Linked DNA regions of Drosophila melanogaster. The protein of the gene in region 4 interacts with the protein of the main gene of each other region in a pairwise test. Each region holds a gene or a part of one and is shown on either strand. Other genes may lie near its edges.

Region 1 (8,411 bases), on a different chromosome or scaffold from region 4:
ATTTCCTCTCCAGCAAAGGACTAAGCGTCGTGTGCACGTGGGCAGCACCAATGGCAGCGGCGGTGACTCCGGCCAGGAAACGAATGATGCGAAATCGAATGGCGACAGGTGAGTCTTGCAGTCACAGCGATAGTTTCTTGACTAATGTCGTTTTCTTCCGTTTCCGCAGCCGCTCGGAGAAGAAAGTTCTGGCCCAAGGCAGCTCCAGCACAGATGAGGGCTGCGAGACAGACCAGGGCAACGATCCGGGCTCTGCTTCCCAGGAGTCAAAGGGCAGCAATGGCGGCGGTAGCGGTAACGCCAACGGCGGACCCACCTCGCACTCCAGCAGCGATCTGACGCGGCTCGTTGGAACCACTACCTCTGGACAGAGTCACAAGATGCGCTCGTATGCCAGTAGTAGCTCGTCCAGTGGCGTTCTCGCCGGGAGCGCTGGTAGCTACTCCAAAAGTCTGAGCCAGAACCTGAGCCGCGGCTCGTCCAAGAGCAATTGCAGCGGTCCCTACGATAGCTTGGACTTTGCCTTGCCTTCTGGCAAGGGCAGTCTACCCTCGTGCATGGGCTCAAGTTCGATGCTGGCCACGCCCACTCCGGCCTCGGCATCGCCAGCGGGAATCTCATCGGAGCATTCATCGGAAAGATCGCTGTACGGGAGCCACAACTCCTGCATCCATATGCCAGGAGCTCTGCCGTTGGGCTTGGGCCTTCCTCAGAGTTCAGCCTCCACGCCCACGCCGAATCCTACGCCTCCGCCAAATGGCGGTGGTGTCACGTTCCTGGACAAGCGTTCACCCATACACTTTCGCGAAGGAAGACGGGCGAGTGATGGCCTGGTGGCCCAGGGCCTGCTTAGCTCTGGTTCCTTGCTGGGCACCAGTCGTGTGTACGGAAGTTATCGCTACGAGCAGGCCAAGCGTCACGGTTGGCTGGAGATCCAGCAGCTGCAGCAGCTGCAGCAGGAGGCGGCTGTGGGGCATTCACACCCACATGCCCATCAACATCCGCATCAGCATCCGCATCCTCATCCCCAAGCGTACGGCTTGGAAGAACTCTGTCAATTTCCAAATGGTCAATTCTATGCTCTGCCGGGCAAGCATCATCCGCTGCTGACTTTGCCCCATCATCATGCGCATCCTGCGCAGCATCACCATGGCCATCATTCGCTGTTCCATTCAGGCCACCAAGCCACACCTCTGCTCCTGGAAGCCGCTGCTGGTGGGGATATGTATGGTCATGGATGCTATGCTCCGCCACCGCCGCCACCAGGGCTATACACGCACCATCAGTTGGGCGTGGGTATGGCCGTGCCCATGTCCCCGATGCAAAAGCCACCGCTGCAGCAGCAGCTACTGCAGCACCGCCTGCTTCAGCAGAAGCGTCAGTTGTTCCAGAAGCAGTACGCACTGGAGGCGCAGCTAGCCGGTCGACATCACCACCATCAGCAGCACAGCCATCACCACCATCACCACTTTGGCCACAGCCTGGGTCCGCCACCGCCGCCGGCTCCGGCTCCGGAACATCACCTGGCCGACGAGTTGTACGAGTTGGCCTTGCTTGATCGGCCCAGGAGCGGAACTCCTAGGCTTCAGCACTCCATGACCATGCCCGGAGCTCATGCCTTCAGTCAGATGAACCTCAAGACTTCCTACATCAGCCAATCGGACCAGGTGCCTGGTGCGGCGCCTAATGGAGCTGGTTCCGGAGGATCAGCTGCTGGGGTATCATGCTCAGCTCCACCGTCCACGGCGCCGGGTACGCCCACGGTCAAGTGCAAGCCTACCACGCCCCACGGTCACAGCCTGGACTCCGACTATCATGTAAGTAAGCTAGATAACGCATATTAAGATGATTTCTCAGGCATCCCAAGTTCGTATATAAACCTTATCCGTTTTCTCCTTGTGTCCTCCGCAGACATCGACGCCGGTGCTCAGCCTTTTCACGCCCAATTGGCAGTCGCTGGTAAAGCCGCTCAGCGAGAGCCCCATCCTGGAGATATCGGAGCACCTTGAGTCAGTCTGAGGCCGTGTGTGATGTTATTCGGTGGAGGGGTTGGGGCAATTCGAATGGGAGTAGATTTGTAAGTGGAAGTCGGTGGGAAAGGAAAAGGGGTAGGACTGGACATCGAACTATAATGGGGGCTGGACCGGGACCGGGGCCACCTTTTTATTAAGCTCGCAATCGCAATTATGAATTATTTGATCCATATACGATATACACCCATACATACATATAAATAGCCTATATAGATATGAATGCGGGTCGGAATCGGAATCGGAGTTACATCGATTCACGTTTATTGGAACCGATAGAATCATTACCGAACCGGGCGAAGCAGTAATATTGAATGATTTAGTTGTGTTACTAGTCTTAAGTAGTCCAAGTTTCGTACGCATATACGCAGACATATACAATATGTATATTGATAATAATAGCGTTAAGCTATAGCTCTACTTATGATTACACTATACACTATTGTATTGCCCCCACGACAGTGGACGAGAACAACGTAACTACATATATCAATTATTCGAAGCATTTATTGGGGGCATAGAAAGGGCGTATCCATATAAGGATATATCTATTATGTATTGGTACAATAATTAGCGACAAGCAAAGAAAAAAAAAACAAAATTTAAACAAACATCGATTGTTCTTAAACATGGAATTCAAATGTAAACCAGATATTAAAGTCATTTGGTATAAAATGCAATATACTTCTGGAGTTCCTACATTATATAGATATAGATATAGATATATATGGGTGATCTGTGTTTTCGTGTGTGCGTGGAAGGGACGACCGGCCGGATCATGTGACTAGAAATCTTTTTTGGAGGCACTATAATCACCAGGGGATCAAGGAATTTTTTCTTACCGCAGATCATTCAACATGACATTTGGGTACTTCTCCCATCGTATTACTACCATATGGCACACATATATCATATCCCGCTAGGACGGAGGACGATGAAGGTGTTAAGGCATCTGTCGGAGTCACGTCGTGGCCTTCACCTGCCGATTGGACTCCAGGTGCTTTCGCTTTGCATTGGCCTGATTCCGCTGCTTCTGGGTATCTGGAGAGCCATGGCAGCGCAGCAAGTTCCAGTAAGCTCTTCGGTATTCGGAGCTCATCAACACGTAGATCAGCGGGTTGATGCAGGTGGTCAAGTAGATAAGTAGATAGCCAGCAATGTTGAACCAGTGCACCTCGGTGGCGCTTTTCCATATTTTGGCCACCGTGATGGGCAAATAACAAATTACAAACCACACGAAGATTACCAGTATCATCTTAAGCAATCTCCGGTCCTTGGCACTCATCCTTCCCGGGTAAATAGAGGATGCATTTGAGGTATTGCCCATGGAGGCGTAGTGGGATTTCCGCGGGCTAAACCGTGTGAAGGAGGTGGTGCGCAGGGATGTAGTGATAGGGTTCTTTCTGGAATGGATTTACGCATTAAGGTTGAGTGAAATGGCAAAGAAGCCTTCAACAGCTACTCACCCATGGGTTTTGCCCATCTCTAGTTGCGTTTGACTGCGTCCCAGGCTGACCTTTTCCTGATCCCGATCCCTTTCCTTCTCCCGCTCCTTGAGCACCACATTGGCATCAACAGGCGGTGGCTGCTGGTCCTGATCCCTCCTCCGTATGCTGTACGAGATCGGCAGACTGTCCGTCGAAGCATTGTCATCGATATACGCTAAGTTTTCCTCCACCACAAAGGGTCGTCCTGCGATCGGTTCGTTCGCCTCGCCGCTGGACGTGGTCACCTTCTCCGGCTTCTTTGGTGTGGCCATGGCTTGAATCTGATGCTGCGGCGCGGAGCTGGGAGTCACATCGCTGACATTGGTCTTGCCAGCGGTTCCCGCGCGAATGGCCGCCTTTCGCACCAGCAGGAAGATTCGGGCATAACAGATCACGATGCAGATGCACGGCACCATGAAGGCGGCGATGAAGAGGAACTCCTTGGGGGATCTACCATACCGATCATGCATGATGGAACACGAGCCGATGCTGACGTCCAAGCCAAAGATACCCCATACGCCCCGCCAGGTGGGTATCATTATGGAAAACGTGGTGATCCATGTGCCGGCTACCATCAAAGCCAAATATCGTCGCTGGTAAATTCTGGAAGAACGGATTTGAACCAGTGGGAATTGTATTTTGTACCATGTCTAATTTGATAATAATATATGCTCATTGTATTCAAATATATTATTTTAAGATATCCGTAGCTCACGAAAATAAAAACTAGCTAGTTATTTATTTCTCCAGAAATATTGTAGTTCATATTTTATAAGATATTAATTTCCGTTCAGTTTAATTGTTTATTACGAAAATATTGAGATCGCTGAACCGACCTTTTCTATAGCATTTGCCTCTAGCAAGTAATGTTCTCTTTTTTAGTTAATTAAAAAACATCTACGAGAAGCCATACATTTTCCTTTTTATAAACAAGTTCAAAAGTTTATAAGTTCAGAAACACAATAACATATGTGTGGGTTTTTTTCTCAGATTAAGTGGTAGGTTACCATGCGTATCATAATAAACAGATAAGCACCAAGAGGAAGAGTTGGGCACTCTGAATACCCTTCAAGATTTAGGCAGGACATGCCGATATGGGCAGGCCCATTCTCACCTTGGATACTGCCTGGGATGGGCGATAATGATGTACCGGTTGATGGTGATCAGCGACACGGAGAGCAGGGACACCGCCAGCAAGCCGTAGCGCAGCATCGGAAACAACCTGCACAGCAGATCACTATGGGTCCACGCCCGCTCCTTGAAAGTGGACGCGGCCAATGGCAGATTAAAGCAGCCAAAGAGTAGATCCGAGCAGGACAAATTGATTATGAATATGGCCGTGGAGTTGCGGGTTTGACGACCTCGCGACAGGGCCACTATGGTCAGTAAATTTCCGGGAACGCCCACAATGATGAACACTATGCAGGCCACCCAGGCGATGGTCAGCAGCTCGTCCGAATAGCCCTCGAAGAGCACCTGGCGCCTGTCGTCTACATTGAGATTAAGATTCATATTCAGATTGAGGTCCACGTCCACGTCCAGGTCCAGGCTGTCGGAAAGGGGTACCGGCAACACCGCGTCCTGATCCGCCATGTGATCAGTAGCATAGGGATCCGAAAGAGGCAGCGCTATCGAGATCGGATGCGGAGTTGGTCCGGATTTTGGTGGGAACATCGCGCGGCACTTTGTGTTCGGCAAAAGACGCGTTGCTCGTTCCTGCGCCGAATTTGTACTAAAACTGAATTCTCCGCATCCATACACCGACATGGTTCCCACCCAAAAAGTGGGCCCGAAGGCAGTCGCCGCCAGCCAAGCGTACAAAATATTGAGAAAAAAAAAAAAAACAGCAGGCGAACTAGAAAAACTTTCAAAAAGGAAAACAAAAGAATCTCAGAGCAGCAACAGCAGCAACAACACACATTTTTATTGTATACAACAATTGACTTCATCATCGGGTAATTTGGTAATTTGCGTGTGGAATGGGCGCTTTGTTTACATTGTTCCTATTCGGTGTTGTTTCTTAACCGCCCTTCCCGCCCCATTCCGCCCCAATCCACTCGACTCTTTCGCTCTTTCGTCGATATTCTGACGGGGTCATGTTGCTGTTGTTGCCGTTTTTCAAAGTTTCAGATACTAGACCAGGGATACCATTGCCCAAAATGGTTCGACGTTTTAGCTACATACTTGAGCATTCCGACAGCCAGAACATACATACTTGCATTAGACTAGTCTTTGCATCAGTCTGGTGGAATATAAGTCATGAGCAGCATGGGGAAAGTTATCTGCATTGCTAACACAATTCAAGACTTATCACTTGCAATGAAGTAAGAAGTTCCCCTCCTTAATTGATACCTTGACCGATACGTCTTGGATGCTTAAAAAATTCGGTGTGCCAGAGGTTACATGAATATATTGGGAATACAATGAATAAGCTCCTACAGATGAATCGAGTCTATTCGTAGCCCTGATTTCGGGCCATACGCACCTCTCCGGCATTTTTGAAATGAAAAACTTTTCGGTTCCTGGGTCGTGTGCATGTGTGTGTGTGTTTGTGTGTGTGGTTGCATAGTTTCCTCTGGCAATTTTCTGGATAATAAATGGGCGGCATCCATTCGAAGCGAGGAACTGAAAAAAAAAGCAAAACTTTTGCGAGAGGGACTCATTCGAATAAATATGCCTATAGATCGAATTTGTGCGTAGAATGAATACTCCAGTCATGGGCGATTAATCCTGAATCATAACTCGAGACTATGCGTTTTTCACGCTCTCATAACCCGTTTCGAATAATGAGTCAAACCCCGGAAGCCTGGTGTCACACGACGTCAGCGTACATATGTAGTCTTAATTAATCAAGCCAATATGCCGGGGGAAACCTCTCTACTTTTCCGAGGGTCAGAGTGCGGGTCGTCTGTTGGGTCGAATTGAGTATTGTTTGCCTTTTGAAAAGAAAAACAGGCGGTTCTAGGGAAAACTCTTTGGCAACGGCACGAATACGAATACGTTGTTTGTTTTCATGCAGGCCAATAGTCCGGGAATTGCAGCCGACTACCCAAGAAAATAACATTCAGTTCTTGAGGAAATTAATATAATTATAGCGCCATATCGCATTCACTTAAATGACGAGAAATTTTTAAGTTTAAGATCCTAGGAACTGGATGGAATACAATACGTGATAACGAAACATATGGCTCATCCTCGTACTTGCGAAAACATGCGTTTTCATAAAACAATACAAGGCTTTATCGAGCTTAATCTAAACGTATAATCCCATCATTTTTTAAGAAATTAAAAGTGCACTATCCTTGCGCCCACCACTGTACTTGGAAATGCCTGCGGGATGGGCATAAAAGTGGAAACTAAGACCTCCCCCCCCCCCCCACTCATCAACCATTCTTGATATGATTGTGAATACGATTCGAACGCCAATCGACGCCCGCTTCGGATTCGAATTCGGATCCAGAGATCCAGACTAATGTAAACTTCTCCGGCGTACTTACATATACGCCTATACGCATACGCACACGCACGGGCCCATGTTTAGATAGCCATAAACTATCGTGTTCTTCACACAATCCGCAGCAAACAACAAACAATGAGAGTGCGCACAAATCCCTACGTCTTCAGTTCGATATCTGCACCGAAAACATTTATTACCAGGTCACAGTTCCTAATGCGATATGTGCGGTAGCTCCAACCATCAGTTCCTTACCATGCGACAGACCGTTTTTCCCAGTGCAGCCATGTTGGATCGCCTCGATCGATGTCGAATGTCCAATTGTGTAAACATTAGAATGCAGACACATGAAGCCTTATCATTGCACATTTGCTTCAGTGGAGAGAGGAAGCAGAAGCGGCGTATCTGCGATATGCATCTGATCGATCGGCAACCATTGAGCGGCCTCCACCCACACCCGCCCCTCGGTCGGTCACCAGATGGCCGATGGCTGATCGCCGATCTCCGCCTCTCTGTCTGTCCCTGTCTGTCTTCTGCGCTGTCTCCGGCCGGCGGGCGAGAGTGCGGGAGTGCGAGCGAGCAAGAGAGCAGAAGAGAGCGCCAAGTCGTGGGGGCAGTAACAGGGGCGCGCCAAATGAGGGGAAACCTGACTAACATGGAGCGCAACTGACGTGCGTTCAGACGGAATATCTAACGAACGGAGTATACCCTCCCTCAATCAGTTCCCTACGCCACTGGCCGGCGGCGGAGAGTCATTTAGACACTAGTTGAGAGTGAGAGTAAAGAGTGAGAGGGGGCTGCCGATTGTCAACTGGCAATATCGCGACTCGCTCTACGCTGCCCGCACTCGACGAACTGCACTCGATCCGGCAGTTATAGACGATCCAATACGATCCGGCACGAGAACGCAGGCGCTACGCAATTTGTCCGTTACATTCAACCAGTACGGATAATAAACAACGAAAAGTAACTACGATTTCAGTTCGACTTGAGTGACATTCGATACGATACCGTTGAAGCAGTCGCGAGCGTGTGCCTATTTGTTAGATATTTAATTCGACTGTTCCTTTTTGTTTTTGTGATTATGTCAAGTGCTGAGTTAGGGCAACCTGTAACCCTTTTATTCTCTACCTGATCTCGCGATTCAAAAGCATTAGTCATGAAAGCTGGTGCGACTTTTGAATCACCGACAGCAGCAAGCAATAACAAAAACAAAAAGCAATGCTCCAGTGGCGTCCCCAGAGCAACAATAAAAAACACAGCGATTCATGAATAACCCCAGCAAATGCCGAATGCCGTAAACTGTTTACATTGCTAACAGCATTACTCACTCACTCTTTCACCTCGCTCAACCTGAGCGAAAAAGAGGAAGTGGTGGAGTAAGAGTTGGAGAGGAGTGGAGTGGAGATCGGAGTTGGAGAGAGTGGAGAGAGGAGCACG
Region 2 (7,430 bases), about 18 Mb from region 4:
ATTGGCGGTGGTGTAGTACAGCCAGTAGAACATGTGGGCACCGGGACGCACATCTACGTAGCCCCAGTCCTGCTCTCCGGGACCGTATCCGGGTTTGCCTAGGATGCGCCATTAGTTCATTTAAAGATTACCACATTTCAGAGATAGCGCTCGATTTACGATTCTTACCATGCGCCAAGGCGGCGAACAATGCCAGGAGTGCTACCAACCGAATCGACATTTTCAACTGAAAGTGATACTCAAGCGCACGGGCTTATTTAACGGGTACAGCACTATCAGCAGAACTTGACATCAGATAATAGTTTTTCAAAAATGATAACTTCTATCGATCTGGTTCTTTCAATCATTCAGAAGAGGGATGATAATCATTTTTGAATTTGTATATTCCCTTTTAAAAAGAAGTTGAATATCTGTTTATGTACGTATATTTAGGTACAACTAATGTTGAAACGATAACTTCCTCCATAAATAATCCCTTTTTCATAAACAATTTTACAATATTGTATATTATTATTATAATGGGTGGAATTGTTTTGCCTAAACTAAAACCAAATGCAGATCTCAACTGATAAGACCATTTGAATTCGAATAACTCGAATTATCGGTTATCGATAGCGTTCAAATGGCTGGCAACTCTGCGATGTTGGCTGTTTTTGCACAAACAGCTGTTGTCGCACTGTTGTTGTCGCCTTTGTGTCTGCAGGTGCAAAATAATATATTAATTGGATTAACTTGGGATTAATCGAGCGATCACAGCCATGGCCACGATGCGCATACCCAAACAAAAGGTGATCCTGTGCGGCGACTACGGAGTGGGCAAGAGCTCCCTGTTCCGGCGCTTCGCCACCAACACCTTCATCACGGATACGGACAGGAAATCCACGTTGGGACTGGACCACATCGATAGGGAATACAGTGTGAATGAAAAGCAGATCAAGGTGGGCTCGGGAACCTCTAAAAGGGCGTGATGGCTGAGATATGAATCCTTAAGCTCTTTAGTTCGATTTCTAGACGAAAGCCACAGTTCTTCAGACTTACAACTTATTGCGTTGTGAGACACTTATGTATATACCGTCTTCTTTGACAGCTCCAACTCTGGGACACCGGTGGCATGGAGCGTGTGGCCTCGGTCACATCCTCGTACTACAAGTTCGCCGAGGGAGCCATCCTGGTCTTTGCTTTGGACAACGCCGCTTCGTTCCACTCGCTGTCGCAGCACTTGCTGGACATTGTGACCTATGCAGAGAATGCCAAGATCTTCATCTGTGGCAATAAGAGCGATCTGGATGGCAGGGAGCCGGAGGTCAGCGATGAGGAAGTGGAGGCCTTCTGCGAGCAGTGCCACTCACTGATCAGTGCCACGTACAAGACCTCCTGTCGCAGCGGCGCCGGTGTGGAGGAGATGTTCCGTGACATCTCTAGGCAACTGGTCCACGCCAATCGCTCCAAAATGGAACTGCAGGCACTGGAGCACAAGAGCTTCCAGGTGGACACTGCGAGCAGCGGCGCGGCGACCAACGAGGAGGACGCCTCCTCCTGCGGCTGCTAGCAGTTGGGGAACATTGAGTTCGGCTAGGAACCCTTATTCCCGCCAGGCTCAATGCTCACGCAGAGATGCATTTTTACTGTTTCCTTTATTTATTGATAGCTTTCGGCTATGTTATGATTTTTAGATACGTACATGTTCAATTCGAATTTTTACGAAAAATACGTCCCGAACGCGAACACGAGTCATAGAGTAGGATTAGTTTCTATTAACCAGGCGCCAAACATTAACCACTTAAACTTTGTACACGTAAGCTAGGATGGCGGATACGCGAGTGATAGGTTAGAAATCTGCGGTAAGAATTAAAAAGTAATAGGAATTCCATCGATTAACAAGAAGGTCAATTTAATCTTAAAGGTAAAAGGACAACAAAATATATAGACATCGATTGACCGCAGATAACTACTCTAAGCTTCGACTCTTATTGCACGTAATACTCCATCCTATCTTATATAGATTAGTGCGTAATCTGCAGCTTTCTTCCACAGAATATCTCGTAAAAATAAAATATACTAAACAATAAATAATCAACTCACGAAATTGGAATGGACAGGCTTCTATAACATTTGAATTTGGGCTAAGATCATTGGCTATTGGTTTGCTAGCTAAAATTACTACGACGAGGCGGTGCTGCTTGAACTGGGTGCGAAGGTCAGATAGAGACTGACGCCCACGGCCACCACAAAGCAGACACCCACTCCATACAAGACCACCTTCTCCCGCAGGGCTCTTAACATCATGGTATTCAGAGTGCGAGAAGCTCTTCCCAGCTCGGCATTGGTTTCTCGAAGTCGAGCCCTGGCTCCCTGTAGAGTTTCCCTTTGGTGGTGCAGATCATTTAGGACCTGGGCGCCCAGTTGCTCCGTCTCCAAGGCCACTCTGTACCCTTCGGTTAACCTGTTGCCCGTCCGTTCAATCCTTTCCGAGTTGTCCAAGAGGCGTTGGCGTTGATCTGTACTTATGGACACATCCTCATAGCTGTCACCCAAGTCCAGAGTGGTGAATGTGTTGGCTTGGGAGCGCTGTTTGTCCTTGGTCAACCTGTACTCCGCCTGCAGCCGTTTCAGTTCTGCCTGGGCCACCTGCAGCTTTCCGTTGAAGCTGCTCCGCAGTCCAGGATTTAGCTCCCTCACCTCCAGACCCATCTGCTCCAGCAATTCCTGAGCCTCGGGCAAACTGGAGTCGATCTTGCTGCACAAATCATGGCGCTCGCCTGGAGTAAATGGACAAATGGTAATCACCATAATGTACAATCCATGGACAATCATCCCACTCACTGTTGTTGTTTTGCTGCTGCAGCCGTCCAATATGGGCCGTTATTTCTGCTATTAACGTGGCGTATTGCTGTTCGTATTGCTCCAGAAGCGACATTTGTGCGGTTTTTATTCTACCTTATTCAGTTGTTTATGGTATTTGTTCTGTTTTAGTTCGCGAAAATTACAGATTTATCGAAGAAAAGAAGTAAACATTGTCCAAGTGTGGCCGAGTCATGAGGTGAACAGTAATACAGCAATCTATAAATACTTTTAAGTCGTGGTCACTCTGATTTCGAGTCAGCGTTGCCATACTCATGTAAAAAACACTGCCAACTTCAAGGACTACAATATTCTCGTAAGAACTCAGATAAAACCAACTTCCGTTTTAAATACGTAAATAAAACACAAACATATCTATTATTTTATAAATTCCATTTTATTGTACTTAGAGTAATTAATAAATTAATTAATTAGGTTCAGCTTTATGCGAGTGGAGATTCTTTGTTAACCTAAGCAACTGTTTTGGCGGTAGTACGATTTAATAATACTACATGATACATATGTACACTGTTCATCACATTTATGTTTTGTGCTGTCCTGGTCCGCGATTAGAAAACTCTTAACCCTCGACCAGTGTGGCCTTGTCCCCTTTTCGGAGCACCAGTTCCAATTGGGACAGCAAGCCAATAGCCCGAAAGTTCTCCTTGAAGAGCACGAAGTCCTCCAGCGGTTTTAGGTACTCCAAGGCCTGGTGGTAGCTTTCCAACTCCTTCAGCATGCATAAAGCCTTCTTATCCTCGGGGTCTGGGGATGTGTGTCCATTGGTTTGGCTGCCGGAGGAGCTGGATCCATTGGGGATCTTTTTTGGCGAGGCGGGAGCAGAGGCGGGTTTGGTGGACGCAGCTCGAGCTGGTGCAGGTGAGTCCTTTCCCTTGGAAGAAAGGGCAGGCGTGGATTTGCCACTTGTTCCGCCTCCCTTGGGGGCGTTCTCCTTGCTGCTGGCACTGTCTCTTCCCCCGCTATTATTGTTGTTCTGCTCGTTGGGACTGGAACTTCGACTGTGCTTGCTGGTTAAGGTTGATTCTGCTAGCGGATATGGTGGTGAGTTCACCGCTGAGTTAATCTCTTGCACTTCGTCATCATCGGGTGACTCCATTTTGGGTCTCTTGGCCAACTGAACGGGCTGGAAGGGACTGGCCCGCTGCGGTGGAACATTTGGCGGCAATTGGGGCTGAAAGGGTTCCCTTTGAGGTGGCATAGTGGGTGGAAACTGTTGCATCTGCTGCTGCTGCTGGAGTTGCTGTTGCATTTGCTGTTGATGCCGCTCGAAATAAAAGTCGTTGAAGCTGGCGAACCCGGGGTGTGGAGTAGGATGTCCGGGATGTCCTGGAAACGGTGGCCATGGGTGGCCCATTTGATGCTGCTGCTGTTGCATATGTTGCTGCTGGAGGGCAAAGTGCTGCTGTTGCTGCTGCTGTTGCTCTTGATAGCTCTGCTCCTTTACATCCATACTGTCATCATCTTCTTCGTATTCTCCGTACTGTTGCATGTAGGTCATGTACTGCTCGGGCATCTCCTCCAGTTTGGCCACTCTTTCAGCGCTCGCGGGCGGAAAGAGATGGGCTAGGTCCTGTACGATGTCCGGGATCCACAGGGAGGATCCTAGTGGCTTCAACTGGTTGCTGGCTAGTTTTTGGGCAAAGCCTTGAAGATGAGTCTCTCGGAAACGGTTTAACCAGCGATTGTCTGCTATAAAGGATGTGCTCCCTATGACTTGTCTGGCATTCTCCGCCTTGTCCTTGATCATTCCGTGGGTAATGCTACCTCGCAGCTGGGGATTGATATTGGCCCTTACTAGCCATTCGTATACCACTGCATTGATGTAGGCGCACTTTCGGCTCCTCTCGATCTCCTCCACCATGGCCTGCTGCTCAACGGCCTCCAGGTTGGAGGGAACTTCCAGACGCAGGGTGGGCAGCGCATTCGACTGCAGTCGCCTGCCACCCAAGACACTGGGGTCAAAGTGCAGGGCACATACCACTGGCTTTTTGAAGGGCACAATTCGTCTTAGGGAGGCGTGGCACGCCTCCTTCCACAGCTTGTGGAAGGGGTTCTCCGGCCGGGGAAACGCAAAGAACTGCATACTCGGGTGCTGACGCGAATTGGACAAGCATCCGATGATGCAGCACCGCCGGATGGTCGGCATCTCGACCTGCGGATGAGGATGAAATTGCTGTTGGCCCCGAATCTTAAATGCTGGAGTGCTGGCGTTGCTCACGCTTCGCCAGGTCACGAAATGTAAATGAAATTAAAACAAATCCACTGGAATCTGCAAGAGAGTGTTTGCACACATTATTAAGCTGGCTATTTAACTTCAATTTAAGTATCTGCGATGTTCTGTGTTCCTTCATGGTCGCGTTCTCAATTTACCGCCAAAGTTCAGGAGGTCTGGCAAGTTCTGGGCTAGGACATGGAGTCTGGCATCCTTTAACCCTTTTCCTTGGCGCACTTTGCAACAAGTGTCTGCATTTGAACTATCTTAGTGCAATTGAGCCCACGATTTCCATATTGCAATGCAATCGGAGTTTTATATTTACATATTTCAGTTTCAAACGTATACGAGTTTGGCAAATAACAATAAATTAATGTGCTGATCTCCATGATTAAAACGAGTAAATTACCCGATTGAGATCGTGTTTTCCCAGAACACAGATATTTACAACAAACCAATGAGTTAGCAACTCTAGAAGGACAACTTTACAAATGAAAAATGAATTCGACGAACAAGCTAGTGTCTATCTCTTGGGACTTACAGCAGATGACATGAGTCATCGAAATAATGGCAAGCCAATACATATTTTTATAAAAGTATATCACAGTATATAGGAACAACCTCGAAACCTCTAAAGAGCATATGCCAATAGCACGACCACTCTAGCCATTTTACAGATACAGAGACAAAACCAAAAGATACATGCGTACGCCTTCGGAAATCAATATAGCCCCCGGAAAAAAAAACAGAACCAAAGCCATACCGTCAGAAAACCATATCGGAGCAAACACACACCCACTTATGACTTGTATTTTGTATCGCTCAGATACACACCGCTGGAGATTCACAGAGATGCCTGCCTAATTCGAACGACTTTGGTCGCGCCCCTTTTCGTACGCCCAAAGAGTTGCGAGGTAGATATAGACTGGTGCTGAGTCACAAAACGGAATCCACCTGCCTGACTCAGAGCCGGTCTTTGGATTAACACAGAACCCGGGAGATCGAGATGACTAAATCTCACAAGCATGTCCGATTCATTTCTTAGATTTAAGGCCGTATCTTGGTTTCCTTAGACAAACTTCCAGGTAACTTAAATGTAATGCTAAAGAAGGTAAGGATGGCACTGATGATTTAACCTCCAAAATATAATTTGATATCTAAGAACTTGGGCTGGTTAATCTCAGGATCAACATAGATTTGCTAATAATAAAAAACATTCAATTGTTGCGCCCATTAGAGAAGTGAGTGCGAGAGATTTCATGCGACTCTTACAGATACGGATGGCTCAGTCCCAAGGGGTGGACTCTGGTGGTTACCACGCATCCAAGCGCTGCCCAAGTTGTTGACATGGATTTACGGAATCGAGCCTTATCTCTCGGCCAGCTTAGGGGTTGCTCACTGTTCCATAGCTCTATCAAGCAGATTCCGAACTCGATTCCCGTCCCTTTGCCGTGCCTCGGGCAGCTGTTCGCTCTGCTCGAGCAAAGTTTTTGTGCCGGAAACTTCTTGGCAGCAGCGCTGCCAGCGTCAAAGTTTCGCTGCCCGAGAAACCCAAACTCAGTCGAACCGAAGGAACCCAAACCCAAGCCCAAACCCAAGAACCCTTCCACTTCTCCATCTTGAAGATATATCTTATGCTCGCACCTTGACACACACACAACGCGACTGCGCTTCGTCTATGTCTTGGCCCTGTGTATGTGCGTATCTGTGTGTATATCCGCACGCACACCACGGCGCAGTCGAGTGCACTACACCATCAATTCCAATTCAAATCTCCCCTGACTGACTCGCTTTATAAATGGTTTTATATTTCCTTTTATGTCGCTCTCTATGGCCCAGGCTATGGCTATGGCTATGGCTATTGCCATGGGTATGGCTATGGCTCAGACTCTGAGTATGGCTATATATCCACAGCAGCGGCCAAGGCAATAGCGGCGGGTTTCGAAAAATGAAAATCTCGATTACAATTTGGTTAAAAAAATTAGTATACTATATATATAAAAAATAGTTGGTCTAATAAATATTGAGTAGAGTATGCAATTATATTGCCCATTATGAGTCGGCAACCTGATGTCGCTACTATATTTGTGACGGGGTCTGTGCATATATACAGAGCATCGAATGCGGACGTTGGACGTGGATGTAGCTCCAAGTACGAGTATCTCGACATCTCAGCTCGCTCAGTTCAGTTCGCCCGTTCAGTTCTTGCCTTTCTTTCCCTTATATCGATTGGCACTTTATCTTAATCGCCTCGAGAGTTGTCCCTCGCCAGTCCCCGGGGGGATTCCCCGTGCAGGTCCTCCTGCACCTTCCCCCAGCCTGCAGATTCCGATTCGGACGCCCCTCTCCTCCCACA
Region 3 (8,458 bases), on a different chromosome or scaffold from region 4:
CCTCATTGATCGTGCTGTTGAGAAATATGCGGCGCTGCTCGTTGATCTGTTCGATGCTCTTCAGCTGAGCCAGAATTTTTAGATCCTCCTCCTTTCCACCATTGGCCAGGGTAGACATTTTCGGCAATTTTCCTTAGTTTTTGACTAGTTGTCGTCTGGTTGTATAACCGCCGGGAACAGTTGCTCCAAGCTCAGGTGGCCGAATGTGCTTTTCTTCTGGCGGAATTCTTCGCAAGCGTTCGCAACTCGTACTTTCGTATCTTATCAGGGAGACGCCTAACTAAACTAGCTGGCCCGGCAATCGATTTGGACTTGTGATGCGATATACCAAAAAGCCGCAGCCAAAACCAACCAAACCAAACCAAACCAAACCAAAAACGCAGCCGAACCCCAAGCGACGCGACTCACACGCGCTCGCACATCAAGTACCCGCCCCGTTGGCCAGTTCTTTTGCCTTCACCGCCGCGGACGCGGACATGGACACGAGCGTCTTCCGGACCCCGCCAATTGAAATGTTGCATTTGAATTTGAATTATTGGCCATTTGTGGTTTCCTCCGTTCCGGCGGCTTTTCCATTTCCCCCTCTCCGCTTCCGTTGGCCAAATGCCGCAGCCATCAATGTCAAGGTGTTGACATGTGTGGCCAGGGTCTACGGCCCAGCACAGTGGGACCTCCGTAGGGCGACAGGCATTCTGTTGTCTACGCTGCTGAACTTTCGCAATTGTCATCATACTTATTAGTTTCTCCATGCGTCAACTGTACCTTTGCTTTTCGAACTGAGGAAAGCGTGCTCATACATGTTTCCTCGAGTGTTCACTGTACACGTTTGTGCCTGCCTGTTATAAGCTTGAGCGAACAACAGCAGCAACAAAAGGCCGATGCACCACCGATCAATACTTACATACATACATATGTATGTATGTCAATCGCCTTCAATCACGTGTATCGCAGAGGATTTGTAAGAAATGCAATTGAAAGGAAGAAAAGGAAGCATGTGAATCGCAAAATACATATAATATTTATAGCATGCCAAAAGCCTTTGAAATTTAATTAAATTTTTCTTTACAGCCATTTTGGGTTTGTGGTTTCGCTTTGATTGCATAGAATTGAATTCAATAATAAGGCTGTCAATTATTTCGAGACCAATATATTTCAGTCACATTTGGCAGTGGAACTAGTTCGATAATCTATATGGTTCTAAATTATATCCGGTAAATTCAAATGACAGTCAAAAGCATGAATAACCAAAATTTGACGAATGCAGCAGACTCATTTTATAAGTTGTTCCTTAAGATAAACTTGGTATAATCACGCGTACGCTTGATTGTAAATCCGAACTAGGAAGCAAATGAGATACATATGTATGTATGTATTTTCCGGACTGCTATCCGCTCTGTCCGGCAGATGGGAATGTGAAATAGACAACAAATCGCACGAGTCTTTCATGCCGCGTTCCACACAGAAGATCTTATATTTACATACGGAATCTTATCGGACGAGCCACTCCGCTCGGGTTCGCTAAATCGTGTAATAAAAGATACTTAGCACATATGTACGTAGGCATAGGGTTGTATGGGCGAGGGGTGGTTGGGTTCGGGTTCGAGGAACCGGGGGAACAATGTCAATGCGTTGACATTGAAGGTTAAATGCCGGCAAAGGCGGTTAGTCGGCTGTGGAATTTCCGTGCGCGCGCAACCAGCATCCAATTCGTTCCTGTAAGCCAAAAAACCAACATTACCATGTCGCCACCACGACACATTTTGAAGCTCAGCCTCGAGGAGCAGCGGCAGTTCATCGATTCCTTCGATTTGGTGATCAGCGACTGCGATGGCGTCGTCTGGCTCCTGGTGGGCTGGATTCCCAACACGGGAGCCGCCGTCAATGCCTTGAAAGCGGCCGGCAAGCAGATCAAGTTCGTGTCGAACAACAGCTTCCGGTCCGAGGAGGATTACATGGAGAAGTTTCGCCACATCGGCGCCAAGAACGTCCAGGAGGACGACATCGTTCATCCGGTGAAGACCATTGTCCGGTACCTGAAGAAGCACAAGCCGGGGGAGCGGGTATACTCCCTCATGTCCCTCGAAGCGAACGAAACGTTACGTAAGCACAACATCGAGTTTGAATCGCTGGTAAGGGGAAGGTTATTACTTATAAATATATATATACAATATATTTAGTTCAAGAGCTTCCGTGTGACTATTAAATTTCATATCATTCTCCTTCAGCAAGTCAAGGAGCACCTGACGGCCGCGTCGCTGGTGGATCACCTGGCCATTGAAAAGCCCGTGGGCGCTGTGCTATTCGACATCCACTTGGACCTCTCGTACGTGGAGCTGGCGAAGGCCATTAGGCACCTTCAGGAGAATGACGACTGCCAGTTGATAGCCGGCGGCAGCGATGTCATCATGCCACTGGCGGAGAATCTCAATGTGGCCGGGTTCTTTGACTTCCTGGAGCACGTTAAACGCTACACGCAACGCGAGGCCACGTTTCTGGGCAAGCCGTCTCCCATTTTGGGCGAAATGTTTGGCGAAATGTTCGAGATTCGTGATTGCAAGCGCTGCATCTTCATCGGGGACACACTGGTGCAGGATGTGCAGTTCGGCAAGGCCTGCGGCTTCCAGTCCCTGCTGGTACTTAGCGGCTGCCTAACAAAGGAGGACATGCTGAACGCCCCGGTGGAAGCGCAGCCGGATTACTATGCCGATAGCCTGGCCGACTTCACGCAGCTGCTTGAAAATATTCAAAAATAGGTTGAGGATCGTGTGCCGCAGGGAAATTACGAGAAACGTGCTACCTGAAATTAACTATATCAACCCAAGATAAAGTAGTAATGTTCTTAAATCGAAAACCGATCCACCGTTATTGCTTATTCGATATAATTATTGTTGAATTTTAAAGTTTATAAATGTCTACGAAATTGATGCATTTAAATCAATCCAAATCGAAATGGGCTTGCTACTTTACTGTAGACTTTATTGGTAGAATTGCTAAAACAACGAGACAAACACGATTTCAAATCTCCAAATCTTCGGGATGATACAGTTCCGTAAGGAGGCGGTACACATACGAGGGGGCATGGCCACCGCTAAGTAAAAAAAGAATCCAATAAATGCAATAAAAAAGAGTCGAAAGGCCGATAAGCGCACTACTTACGTGTTGGATATGAAAAGGGTGACCAGTTCCGGAGGCACGTAGTCGAACATGGGACTGTATACCTTGGCTTCGCGCGCTGGAATCGAATCGTAGGGTATCACATCCTCCGCACAGCCGACCATATTGAAGGCGTCCTGCTCGCACAGATGCAATGGTGAGAGTTTGTACATGGGCGCCAGTACAATGACCGGCACGGAGTAATGCTTGGCGGCCAGGGCCACTGTATACGCTCCACACGCCGCTCTGAGTCCTCCATTAGCCAGCACGCTGTGCGTACCGATTATTACCTTGTTGACGCGCGACATCATAGCGAAGATGGCCGCATCTGGGATCACAACAATCTCCACATTCTTCTCGTTGGCCAAGCTGGCGGCCAAATTGTGACCCTGTAAAAGACATAGGCAGTTGTTAAGCAACATAAGAGCATTTTCTTACACCCCACAAATACTGTCGTCCCATAAAGAGACCCAACTAACCCGGCAGGCTGGCGCACATTCGGCTACGATGATGGTGAGAAACTGACGCTTTTTGATCGCCCTTTTGAGGAAATTCTCGACGCTGCGCGAGTGTCCCAGTGTCAAGATGATCTCCGACGAATGGATGTGCTCCTCGGCCTGGACGCAGATGTTCTCCGAACTGGTCTCCAGCTCCGTTTCCACCTCCTGCAGGTGGTCGAGCAGCGCTTCCCGCAATCCATGCTGGGGCACCGAGTAATCTACGCTGACGTTGCTCTCGCTGGTCTGCGTGACTAGCTTGTGAAGCGACAGCGAGGCCTGTGAGTCGTCCGCGAAGTGTTGCACCTTGGCGTGCAACAGATCGAACTCCTCGCGAGTCAGCTTGAGGATCCGCCTGGCAATGTTCGAGGTAACCGTCTCCTGGGGCAGAGCTGCCTGCAGGATCTTACACTGGTCGCGCACAATCTGCATGAGAGCACTGTCAAATGAGGGGGAGTTGTTTATCAGTTAATGTGTTATCCTTGGTGTGCCATCCCTTGCAACTCACTCGGCGTTCTGCCAGCTCTTGCTCATGATGATGTACTTGAAGATGTCCAGCGTCTTGTTGGTTATGTTGTAGGATCCCTCCACCAGCCTGCAAAACATATGCCACTTTAACAACCAAATGAATCGCAGTGCCTGCCAACCGACGACTTACCCCACTTTGATGGCGTGGATGAGCTGTGTGATCTCCTTTAGCGGCTGTTCCTTCATCGTGTCCTGGCGTCTCTGGTCTTTGCAATTATGAATTATCAACTAAAGTGGCCAACTGTTACCATTATTCAGTTAGAAAACTATTTACGAAATCGCCACACCGAGCAATGTTATCGATAGGCGGCAGGCGAAAGCGAATTCTAGTGATGAACTCAAAAAAGTAAAAGATTTAAAATCAACACGGAAATTATTAATGTTTTCATTTATTGCATTTGATTAAATTAATTTATTTAATCCCCCCAAATGGCAATATATTTGTAATGTTGTATTGTAAATTTGATGCATCGCAATTATCAGGTGCCGCCAACAGGTTGTTCATCATTCACTGGCTTAATTTGATGTTTTATGTTTATTTTAATTGTCTGCATATACTGGCTTTCATGACGTATTTTCAACGGCAGCTGAGTAAATAGCCAACCTAGTGCGGCAAAAATAAATTTCGCTGGGCTTAAAAATTTAACATACATGTGCATGTAGAACAAGCATGCACAATATGTATTTATGTATTTCGTCCATGAGTTTTCTTGTTTTCTACTTTCGATCCCCATGCTCTCTTGTTAAATTTTAATTTTAATTTTAAAGTCATAATATATACATTAATTTAAGCAATCTCAATGCCCGATTATTGTATATCTAGCTTTTTTTGCAAGCAACTTCTTTTTTCGCGAGTTCCGCCACAATGCCAGCACTGTGACTATCGAAAAGTCGGTCTCTGCTGCGAAAATAGCAACAAAAGCTGCACGCCATGGGCGTAGCTTGCTTTAAAATGGGGATCCATCCCCCAGGAGCATATGTAAGGTGTATTTACTTTACTGAAATGCACAATGCACTTTTAAATTTTGTTTGCATTCAATTAAGAAGGTTTCGCATTTATGACCCCCGTTGCAAGCCCAGGACCACGTCCCTGGCGCGCAGCAACAACAACCACATAGGCGGCGATAAAAAGCCGCCGCTGGCAGAAGCTTCGGGCTCTGATTGTTGTTTACGTGTCGCCCGGTCCAGTGGAGTCGTCTTCATTTGCGCTCTTCTGCTTTTCTGGCCAACTTGAAGGGAACGAACTGCCAAACGGAACGGCCCGCCGACAACTGATCTTGGCCAGGAACGGAGTCTTTGTGTACCCCCAACTACGGCGTTTTGTTTGCCTTCGGTTTCTATTTGGTTTTGGAGTTGAGACAATAGAGCTAGAAGCGTAGCACCATGAATAGCATACACAGTGAGTATTTGGCCTTTAGTGCGGTGGCGTTACTCCAGCGGTACTGACATGGCGCTCCTGCCCGCCCCCGTCACGTATTCCTATTCCCATCGCACAGTGAACGCCAATACGCTGAAGTACATCAGCCTGCTGACGCTGACCCTGCAGAATGCCATCCTGGGCCTCAGCATGCGCTACGCCCGCACCCGGCCAGGCGACATCTTCCTCAGCTCCACGGGTGAGTGCTTATCCAAAAGTCCAACAGGTCGTCGGGCTCAGCAGGTCAAGCCGGTTCACCGCTTAGCAGATTCACCTCGTTGCCCAGAGCCACTTCCACGAAACCTCGACGTGGGTCTGTCCACGCAAGCAGCAACATCAGCAGTAAAAGCAAACGAGTCGAAGAGGTGGAGGTGAAGGTGGTGTAGGAGCAGTGGCAGGCGGGGAATGGTCGTTCGGGTAGATGTGAAGCTGCCAAAGAAACTGATAAGCAGCCACTTCCGCATTTAGCTCCTAATAGCTTGATAAAACTGTTGGGGAACTTCTACCGCGATAGCTCAAGGAGGTTTGGTTGGCATTCTTGAATTACATATGGGTTTACATTTTGCCATTAAACTTTGGTTATTGCTTTGGTGACTCTGTGTGTAAGTTAACCGGACTTATTTGAAAACCCGAACAGCGATACTTGGACTTATTAGTATATATGTACATATATTTGATTGATTGATTGCCATTTTGCGCCCTCTTTCGCAGCCGTACTCATGGCAGAGTTCGCCAAACTGATCACGTGCCTGTTCCTGGTCTTCAACGAGGAGGGCAAGGATGCCCAGAAGTTTGTACGCTCGCTGCACAAGACCATCATTGCGAATCCCATGGACACGCTGAAGGTGTGCGTCCCCTCGCTGGTCTATATCGTTCAAAACAATCTGCTGTACGTCTCTGCCTCCCATTTGGATGCGGCCACCTACCAGGTGACGTACCAGCTGAAGATTCTCACCACGGCCATGTTCGCGGTTGTCATTCTGCGCCGCAAGCTGCTGAACACGCAGTGGGGTGCGCTGCTGCTCCTGGTGATGGGCATCGTCCTGGTGCAGTTGGCCCAAACGGAGGGTCCGACGAGTGGCTCAGCCGGTGGTGCCGCAGCTGCAGCCACGGCCGCCTCCTCTGGCGGTGCTCCCGAGCAGAACAGGATGCTCGGACTGTGGGCCGCACTGGGCGCCTGCTTCCTCTCCGGATTCGCGGGCATCTACTTTGAGAAGATCCTCAAGGGTGCCGAGATCTCCGTGTGGATGCGGAATGTGCAGTTGAGTCTGCTCAGCATTCCCTTCGGCCTGCTCACCTGTTTCGTTAACGACGGCAGTAGGATCTTCGACCAGGGATTCTTCAAGGGCTACGATCTGTTTGTCTGGTACCTGGTCCTGCTGCAGGCCGGCGGTGGATTGATCGTTGCCGTGGTGGTCAAGTACGCGGATAACATTCTCAAGGGCTTCGCCACCTCGCTGGCCATCATCATCTCGTGCGTGGCCTCCATATACATCTTCGACTTCAATCTCACGCTGCAGTTCAGCTTCGGAGCTGGCCTGGTCATCGCCTCCATATTTCTCTACGGCTACGATCCGGCCAGGTCGGCGCCGAAGCCAACTATGCATGGTCCTGGCGGCGATGAGGAGAAGCTGCTGCCGCGCGTCTAGCTCTGGAGGAATCCGGATCTGCCAACAGTATTTGTCCGTAACCCGGAGGCCGCCGTTCGGTAATTGCTCTGGTGTATCCGGTGCATCCGGTGTCCTTGATATTCCCCACGTTTTGTGTGTATATATATTAGGATGGATATTAACGTCTGGACAATTCGTAGCACTTTCTGTTGAGACGATAATTGTAATGTAAAGCAGCGATAAGAATACTTAATGATTTATGTAATTTAAATGTATTTAGGGTATTCACTAGCGAAACTAAAGTGTAGTTAATGAAATGATGCAGCTTGAATGCACGTTTTATTGATCATTTTAATTGTTACTTTGCGAATGCTGAGGAATGCCAGCAGTATTTACTGGACAACACCACACATACCGTGCCTATCCTTTTGTAAATATCCACTTGCACTCAAGTTTAGACTAAGATTTGTAACGATTTATAGTTTTCAAGTTACACTTGATGTTCGGCCAATTCACAGCCACAACTACTTTTGTTCGAATTTTTTTTTTAGAAGATCATATATATGTATATATATTTACTTGAATGTGCATTATTTATTCATTGCCAATTACTTTATTTTTGAGAAATCCTAGGTTGAGCCAGCCCAGACTTATATATTTGTATTTGAACTAAAGTCGCATTACTCGCACAGTGTTTTAAGAGTGATTCCATATCGATATGTTTCATTTCCTTTGAATAAATATTAGACGAATAAAAGGCGTATTTTACTCCATCAAAAAGTAATAACAACTTTCAACCCACGATAAGTAAAAGCACAACAAAGGTTTTGGGGTCAGTTTTTTGCTTTATTGGCCAAGGAAGGTTTCCTCTTAACTGAAGAACTTTAGTTCATCTATAAAAGAGTAAACCTTTGCCTCTACCCTTAAAAAAAAAAAACACCTTAATAAAAATCATAACGTGTTGCAAATTCAGCAGATACCATTCAAAAGTATGTGCATTTGCGAGTGTGGGATTACGGAACATTTTTAAAACTAAAGCAAAATCTTAGCCATCCGCCAGAAGACTTAATATAAGCTTTATTGGCTGCGAAGTGATGCGGTTGCGATGGCTACAGAAGAGAGTATTGATTTAAATTAAGTGTGGTACATGACATTAGGTGCTAAGGAGGTGGGTGGGGACGCTAATCTAGCCAGGCGAGGCCAACGTCATTGGATTGAGTCTGCAGGGACATCACGAGTTCGAAGACGCGCAG
Region 4 (6,453 bases):
CATGAATATGAAATTGAGCTATAAATTGTTGTTAATGCGACACGGAAAATGTGTAAATCTAGACTATTTGTAGTAGGAGTAGGAGGAAAGCGCTCTCAGGTGTGAAGAAAGATTGCATTAATTTTTTAGCTTGGCAGGATCAACGATTTATAATGGCTAACTCGAAAAAGTGTTACCCATTTCCGTAAAGTTCCTCCTAGCTCAGTATTTCAAATAAACACATATAGTACATACGTTCATTTAGATGTTAGTTGCCATAAACATAAGAATACACTTAAACGTTTTAACTGGATATTAACAAATCAATCCATCCGCCTTTGTAGACATCTGTGAAGATCCCGAAATCAGGGAGCGAATCGAACAGCTGAAGACGGAGCAGGAGAGCAAACGACTGGCCGAGGCGCAGCGACGACGCGTTCGACGCTCACAGAGCAACAACACAAGGCATTTACATAACATTTATGAGCCATTAAACATAACCATTAAAACTAACTATGCTTTCCACAGAGCCCAATCAGTGCGACGCACTAGTTTGCGAGACAAAACGCTGACAACCAAAAAGGATGCCGTCGAGGAGACCCGGCTGCGTCTGCAGGCGCAGGAGGCGACGGACTCGGAGGCTCCCTCATCGGCAGGGGATCCGCTGACCAATGGCTATGGTTACGGAAACAACAACGGAGAGAAGCGACCCTCGACGGGCAGTTCGAATGGCCAACCACTGCCGCACTCCAAGTCCGCCGATGCGCTGGATAATGCCACCGCCGCTTTGTCGGCCAACGCCACACATTCCTATCCGTCGCGCCGTCCACCGGATGGCCGGGAAAACGATGAACTGCTACGCCTGAAAGCTGCAGGTGCTGCGGGAGAGATGCAGCGAGCCACCTCGGCGGCGGCCGTCATTCTCACCGAGAAGGGTACGGCGGCCAGTGCCGAGGCCGTTCAAATCCAGTCGTCGAAGGAGGCTGCCAACGGCAAGATCAATGTCCAGGTCACCGTCCTCGTGGGTGAGTCAAGCGCCCTTGGCCACGTGTCAGGCTTGCTTCCGCTTTCTCCTTTCAACCAAAGCCAACCATTTACTCAAGCACCCCATCCAGACGCCACCTCCAACCATCCTGTTTGGCTCCCAAGGAGCGTCAACGTATCACAAGAGTTCTGCTTAAGCGCCATTCTGTCCCCGTGTCAATGTCAATGTTTAATGTTTATTTAACGACTCTACTAAAATGGAAATGAAAATACTTCCAACAAGCAAGCAGAGCTAACAGCATGAGTAGACTATAGAATGACGAATGCCCTGTAGGAAATGATAATCGATATCTTGGTTTGAGATTTTTAATAGGATAGCTTCGTGAGATGCATAGCTTAGTTGAGATATATTTTATGGAAATGACAGTCATTGTTGTAGTAAGATACTTTTTATTTCATTATGTTGTAAATATGCTTTGTAAATGACTTCTTTATTTAAATGCCTAAAGTGGAATAGCGTAAGCATATATTACTATTTATGTAAATTATTGCCATTTTAATAGCTTACTACACTAAATGGGTTTTCTGATACTAGAAATCGTACTTAGAAAACAGGGGAGCATGGCTGCAATAAGCATTAGCATTTGACTCGCATGTAACCTCCATCCCATCTACCCGATCACTCCCAATTGGTCAATGGGTATCTGCTAACTTAGTTCTCGGGAAAAGAAGAGAAGAAAAGTAAAATAACATTTGCTTGTTTCCGTTTCATTCTTTTTTGTTGTCGTTGTTGTGCCTCGTTTCGCCCGTTCTGTGTCGTCTGCCTGCCCGCATCATCATCAACAATAAAAACAACAACCACCGCACCACTAAACACCAAACACACCCAACGCCTTGCCAAAAACTTCCAACATCCAGACACCAATAGCACGCACCACCATCAGCAACATCAACAGCAGCAGCAGCAGCAGCAGCAACACCACCACCAGCAACACGTACTGCTGTTGCAGCAACACCAGCAGCTTCAGCAACATCAGCAGCAACAGCAACAGCAGCAGCAGCAGCAGCATGTTGCCTTGGATGGCTACAGCGCCACATTGGCCAATTTGAAGAAGCAACGCTCGCTTTCACGCACCGCCAATGTCCTCAATACTTTCGAATTGTCATCCCAAACAGCTAGCAATGCCCATCCAATTGCAGCAGCTAATGCCACAACAACTAATGGTTCTGTTTTAGGAGCCGGCGGCAGCAGCAGCAACAACAACAACAACCTGAGCACCAGCAACAACAACAACAACGGATCCGCACCGATCTCGACGCAGCCAACATTGGGTCACATGGGCGCGGGAAGCGTGCTATCCGACTTCGAGGGCTCCTCGCCGGCGGGCAGTTCGCTGAACAAGTTCAGCGGCATCACTGGCGACGTGGTCACCGATAGCACCAGTTCCAGTCGCAGGTGTTGCGTCCTGATGTAGAAACTTAGCGAACTACTAGAGTCACAGGGTATTAGAGCAGCCAGAATTGTCAGAGGGATAGGCCATTTGTTAAATGGCAAGAAAAAAGTGTCTTTTTATTAGATTAGCCGTATTCAGTGAGTGAATTGTTGAATGTTGATTACACAAATGCATGTTGGTTTTGAGAACGGGGTTCGATTCTGTGAGCTCCTAGATAACGGCTGAAAGTCGTTGCATTTTCCTAGCAGACACAACAACACACTAAAGACACACACAACCAATTATACGAAACAAATTTATACAAATATACAACCATATGTATACATTTTAAAGAATATTAAAAGAATTACGTATAAAATAATTGTGAGCAGTTTACCTTAGGCGATATATAACAACTAACTAAATCAAAATGAAAAAACATCAAAAAATATTTATATAGCAATGCTAAGTAAGAACCTAACTTAATAGATTTGCTTGGAGTGCATTAGGAATATCTGTGTTTCCGTGTGTGAGTGTTACAACCGAAACAGGCGAAGTATTATGCAACAAGTAAATATTTAACTAAATATATAGTACGATAGCAAAATTGTAGTTAAACCGTGACAGCAAAGTAAAGCAAAGCAATGAGACGAAATGCATAGCACTCAAGCAATTTCCACATATAAGTGTCTAAATGTTTGAATTGAAGGAATGTTAATAATGCCAGGCGGCATAGAGATTTATTTTTTAATGCAACTACTTTGCTCTGCGTTATGTAAGTTGAGTTTTGTTGAGAGGTACAAGAATATATGTATTATTTATGTAGCAGCGGTCTTTGTATATAAACCTACACAATTCCAAAAGATGCAAAAACAACGCGCAATTAGCAAATGAGACTTTTTCGATGAATGTCAAGGCATTAGCTGAACGTTTTGTAAAATAAACAAATGAAATACGAAAAAATTACACACAAATTTGATTTGATTTTGCGCCAGTTAGTTTTTTATATTCCTGTGCTTATATTTCTTATGAAGAATGAAGTTGAAGTAAATATCTACTCTTTTAAATCTCGCGCCAAGGTGCTCCACCTGGCGGGATTTTAATGAACCGCAAGCTTGTCATATGGAAGTAAGTTGGCAGCTTTGCGCATCAGCTGTTGCCTCGTTCGACTTTTGTTTACATTTTTATTGGTTTAAACTTATAAGTTTAAAGATCTAACCTAATGGAATCACTCGCAAAATATCGATACAGTTTGGTGGCTGGCTCCTTCGCAGCTGCAGGAAGCTTTTTCGGAAAACTTCCCAGCCACCTGAGCGCCCAAAAACTACTGAATACTTCGCAAATAAATGAAGACTTTTCTTATTTAGGCAAGATTGTGATTTCTTCAAACAAGCAAAATGTTTATAAATTTATAAAATTTTATTTTATTTATTAGAAATAGCATTACTTCAGCTGCTGCCACTAGTGTTAATGGTAACATGCAACGTTTGCAACTTGCGTTTCTTTTTGAAGGCCCTGCAAATGACTGAACAAACTTTAACGTGCGTCGTTTTAACTGCCGCTTCGAATTATGTCTTATCGGTAGGTGATCCACCGATCTATTTGTTCAATTATGATTACTGTTCGTTATATAGTTTGTCCTAGGTGCGCTTGTTTATCGGGAGCCACTGACAGTACTATCTGGCATCGGAATAACTCTCATTCTGGCTGGTCTTTGGTTTCTTTGCGACGGAGGAACAGTCGAGTCCGAAAAGCAGGACAAAATGGAATAGTAGGAATGGGATTTGCTTAAGATTAGCTTCTTTTATACACATTTTTCATTTGCCATATAACTTTCTGAAGCAGGGATAAAAATAGTTAAAGAAACTTAATTTTCCATTTGTAACTTTAAAATATAAAAATGTTGGGAACCCCAATTAGTCCAAAAAAACGAATGGTTTATATACTTTTGTTTAATGTATGTACTGTTTTGCAAATACATAGTTTTCATTTCATTTATAATGCACTGTTAGTGTGCACGCTTCTTCATTCACGCGGCAATAATTACAACTATTATGTTTTACGTGGTTTTGTATTTTTGTTTTCATCGTTTGTGTGTAAAAGTTTGGCAGAACAAAAAAAGGTGTTGAAATGGGATAGAGCATGACAGTAAGAGCACAAACTATAAATATATTTATCCCTTCGTTTATATATATAGGTAATAGTAATTAATTTTTATAATTCAGAATCGTTATTTAATTGCTAAGACGTATAAATACTTTTTATATTCTTTCTCTCGACATCTGTAATCATCAATCAGCTTCAACGCAGCCAAACAGACAAAAAGTAAAATCAAGCAAGAAATGGCAGATCCAAGTTACATACAAGTTTTGCCCATCTGTCGTTTGTTTTCCTTGGACGAAGTAGTGTTGTGTCCTGTCCTATCCTGTCTGGGAGTTTTAGAAACCCTTGGAGCGCTTACTTTCCTGTATTTAGTTGTAATTCTTTCGTGTTTCTAACAACTATTTTGTTTTATTATTAATACATTATCGAATAAACCAAAATCAAGGGAAATAGGTATAAATCGTATTGAAAAATGCGCACGAATTGATTTGTGTGTCGGCTTCATTTTCGATTCCCTAGTTGCGTTATAAAGGATTCTTTTTGATAGATTTCCATTTCTTATGGTTGAGAGTGGTTTGCGTAACAATAATTGTACGTCTACGTGGCCATTACTTGCATGTTGATGATTGGTTTCCTTGTTTTCTGTATGGAGGTTGTGTTTATGGTTTGCATGAATTGTATGTGTGTTTTGTTTGCGGGGTTAATACGTATTGTATGCTCAGTTTTTGTTCTCCAGCCCGAGTGGCATGCGTTGCGACTGGTTCTGACGGTTTATGTAGCCACCACCACCACCTCCCTGGTTGCCCGCTCCGCCACGACCACGATCGCCCATGGGCCTGCCGCCGCCATACGAGCCATTTACATTACGCTGCTGGTTGCCACCGCGCTGGCCTCGATAGCTTCCACCGCCGCCGCCGGAGGATTCGTAGCGCGACTCCTTGTTGTAGGTGCCACCGCCACCTCCTCCGTTCTGGTAGTAGTTGTTGCCTCCACCATTGCCCGACTCATTGTTGCGGAAGTACACACCGCTCGAATTGCCCGAATTGCGTCCGTTCGTGTTAGATGAGTTGCCGTATTGACGCGACCGGTAGTTGCCCCTGTCGCCGCCGTTGCGCCGCTCGTCACCTCGCCCTCCCTGATCGCGATCCCGGTTATCCCTGTCTCCGCCACGACGCTGATAATTGCCAGAGTTGCGGCGTCCGTCTCCTTGCGAGTTGTTCCAATGGTTGTTACTCTCGTTGTTATCGGCATAACCGCTATTGCCTCCGCCAGTGCTGTGGTCCCTGGGCGTGGCCCACTCCTGCTTGTGGCTGGTGTTGCTGCTGCCATTGGAGGCGGCGCTACTCATGGCATTCATCTCCGAGCTCCACTTGGTTGGCGGTGCCGGTGGCGTGGCCTGGGTGGTCTCGCCTTTGAGCACATTCGTCAGTGCTGCTGTGGCGGCAGCATTTGTATCATTATTACGGGCATGCCATTCATTGTTCTCGACATCTCCACCAGCACCGACACTCGAGGAGCTGTTCACAGATGACGGCTCATCCAGCTGCTGTAGATTTTGCTGCTGCTGCTGCTGTTGTTGTTGCTGCTGTTTCAGCTGCTGCTGGATCTGCTGTTCATAGGAAACAACAGCATTTTCGTATGAGAACCCTGAGGTCACATCGCCCGCCTGCATGCCAATGCCCTGAGGAGCAGGCTGCTGCGGTTGTTGGGTTGGCAGACGCGGCATAATCAGCATTGGTTGCGGCTGCTGCTGTGGTGGCTGTTGACGTTGCTCGTGGATCAGCACCGGCGAGAAAAGCTGCTGCTGCTGCTGCGGACCCTGTTGCTGGGGCTGGGGCTGCTGCGATGGGAACGATTGGTTGGTGAAGGTCAGCGTCAGTATGGCCTGCGTTGGTTCTTCGACATGGTTGGGCTGTTGCGGCTGCTGCTCAAATACCAATCCCTGATTGGTCGG

Evidence for each region.
Region 1: the proteins of CG42495 (region 4) and CG4313 interact in a two-hybrid assay, tested with the Drosophila melanogaster proteins (one large-scale study listed by BioGRID).
Region 2: the proteins of CG42495 (region 4) and Vti1a interact in a two-hybrid assay, tested with the Drosophila melanogaster proteins (one large-scale study listed by BioGRID).
Region 3: the proteins of CG42495 (region 4) and Ugalt interact in a two-hybrid assay, tested with the Drosophila melanogaster proteins (one large-scale study listed by BioGRID).

What each region holds. Positions count from the first base shown.
Region 1 is NC_004354.4:2,049,526-2,057,936, reverse strand, and holds CG4313 (uncharacterized protein), read right to left. Parts: upstream 5,254-8,411; 5' UTR 5,192-5,253; coding exon 4,632-5,191; intron 4,121-4,631; coding exon 3,497-4,120; intron 3,434-3,496; coding exon 2,992-3,433; 3' UTR 2,523-2,991; downstream 1-2,522. Other genes in the region: Sik2 (Salt-inducible kinase 2), read left to right, coding at 14-108, 170-1,817, 1,912-2,019.
Region 2 is NT_037436.4:689,862-697,291, forward strand, and holds Vti1a (vesicle transport through interaction with t-SNAREs 1a), read right to left. Parts: upstream 3,059-7,430; 5' UTR 2,918-3,058; coding exon 2,824-2,917; intron 2,760-2,823; coding exon 2,161-2,759; 3' UTR 1,625-2,160; downstream 1-1,624. Other genes in the region: CG32483 (uncharacterized protein), read right to left, coding at 1-98, 169-220; RabX6, read left to right, coding at 759-938, 1,088-1,549; CG13894 (uncharacterized protein), read right to left, coding at 3,422-5,008.
Region 3 is NC_004354.4:2,700,624-2,709,081, reverse strand, and holds Ugalt (UDP-galactose transporter), read left to right. Parts: upstream 1-5,336; 5' UTR 5,337-5,561; coding exon of another isoform or gene 5,562-5,577; 5' UTR 5,578-5,625; coding exon 5,626-5,794; intron 5,795-6,306; coding exon 6,307-7,244; 3' UTR 7,245-7,958; downstream 7,959-8,458. Other genes in the region: CG2681 (uncharacterized protein), read right to left, coding at 1-118; CG2680 (uncharacterized protein), read left to right, coding at 1,740-2,129, 2,226-2,753; eIF2Bbeta (eukaryotic translation initiation factor 2B subunit beta), read right to left, coding at 3,016-3,088, 3,157-3,542, 3,633-4,089, 4,159-4,245, 4,309-4,364; Lint-O (L(3)mbt interactor in ovarian somatic cells), read right to left, coding at 8,387-8,458.
Region 4 is NT_037436.4:18,663,817-18,670,269, forward strand, and holds CG42495 (uncharacterized protein), read left to right. Parts: upstream 1-3,544; 5' UTR 3,545-3,618; coding exon 3,619-3,763; intron 3,764-3,831; coding exon 3,832-3,977; intron 3,978-4,030; coding exon 4,031-4,168; 3' UTR 4,169-4,319; downstream 4,320-6,453. Other genes in the region: MYPT-75D (myosin phosphatase targeting subunit 75D), read left to right, coding at 324-444, 508-1,004, 1,882-2,438; Capr (caprin), read right to left, coding at 5,218-6,453.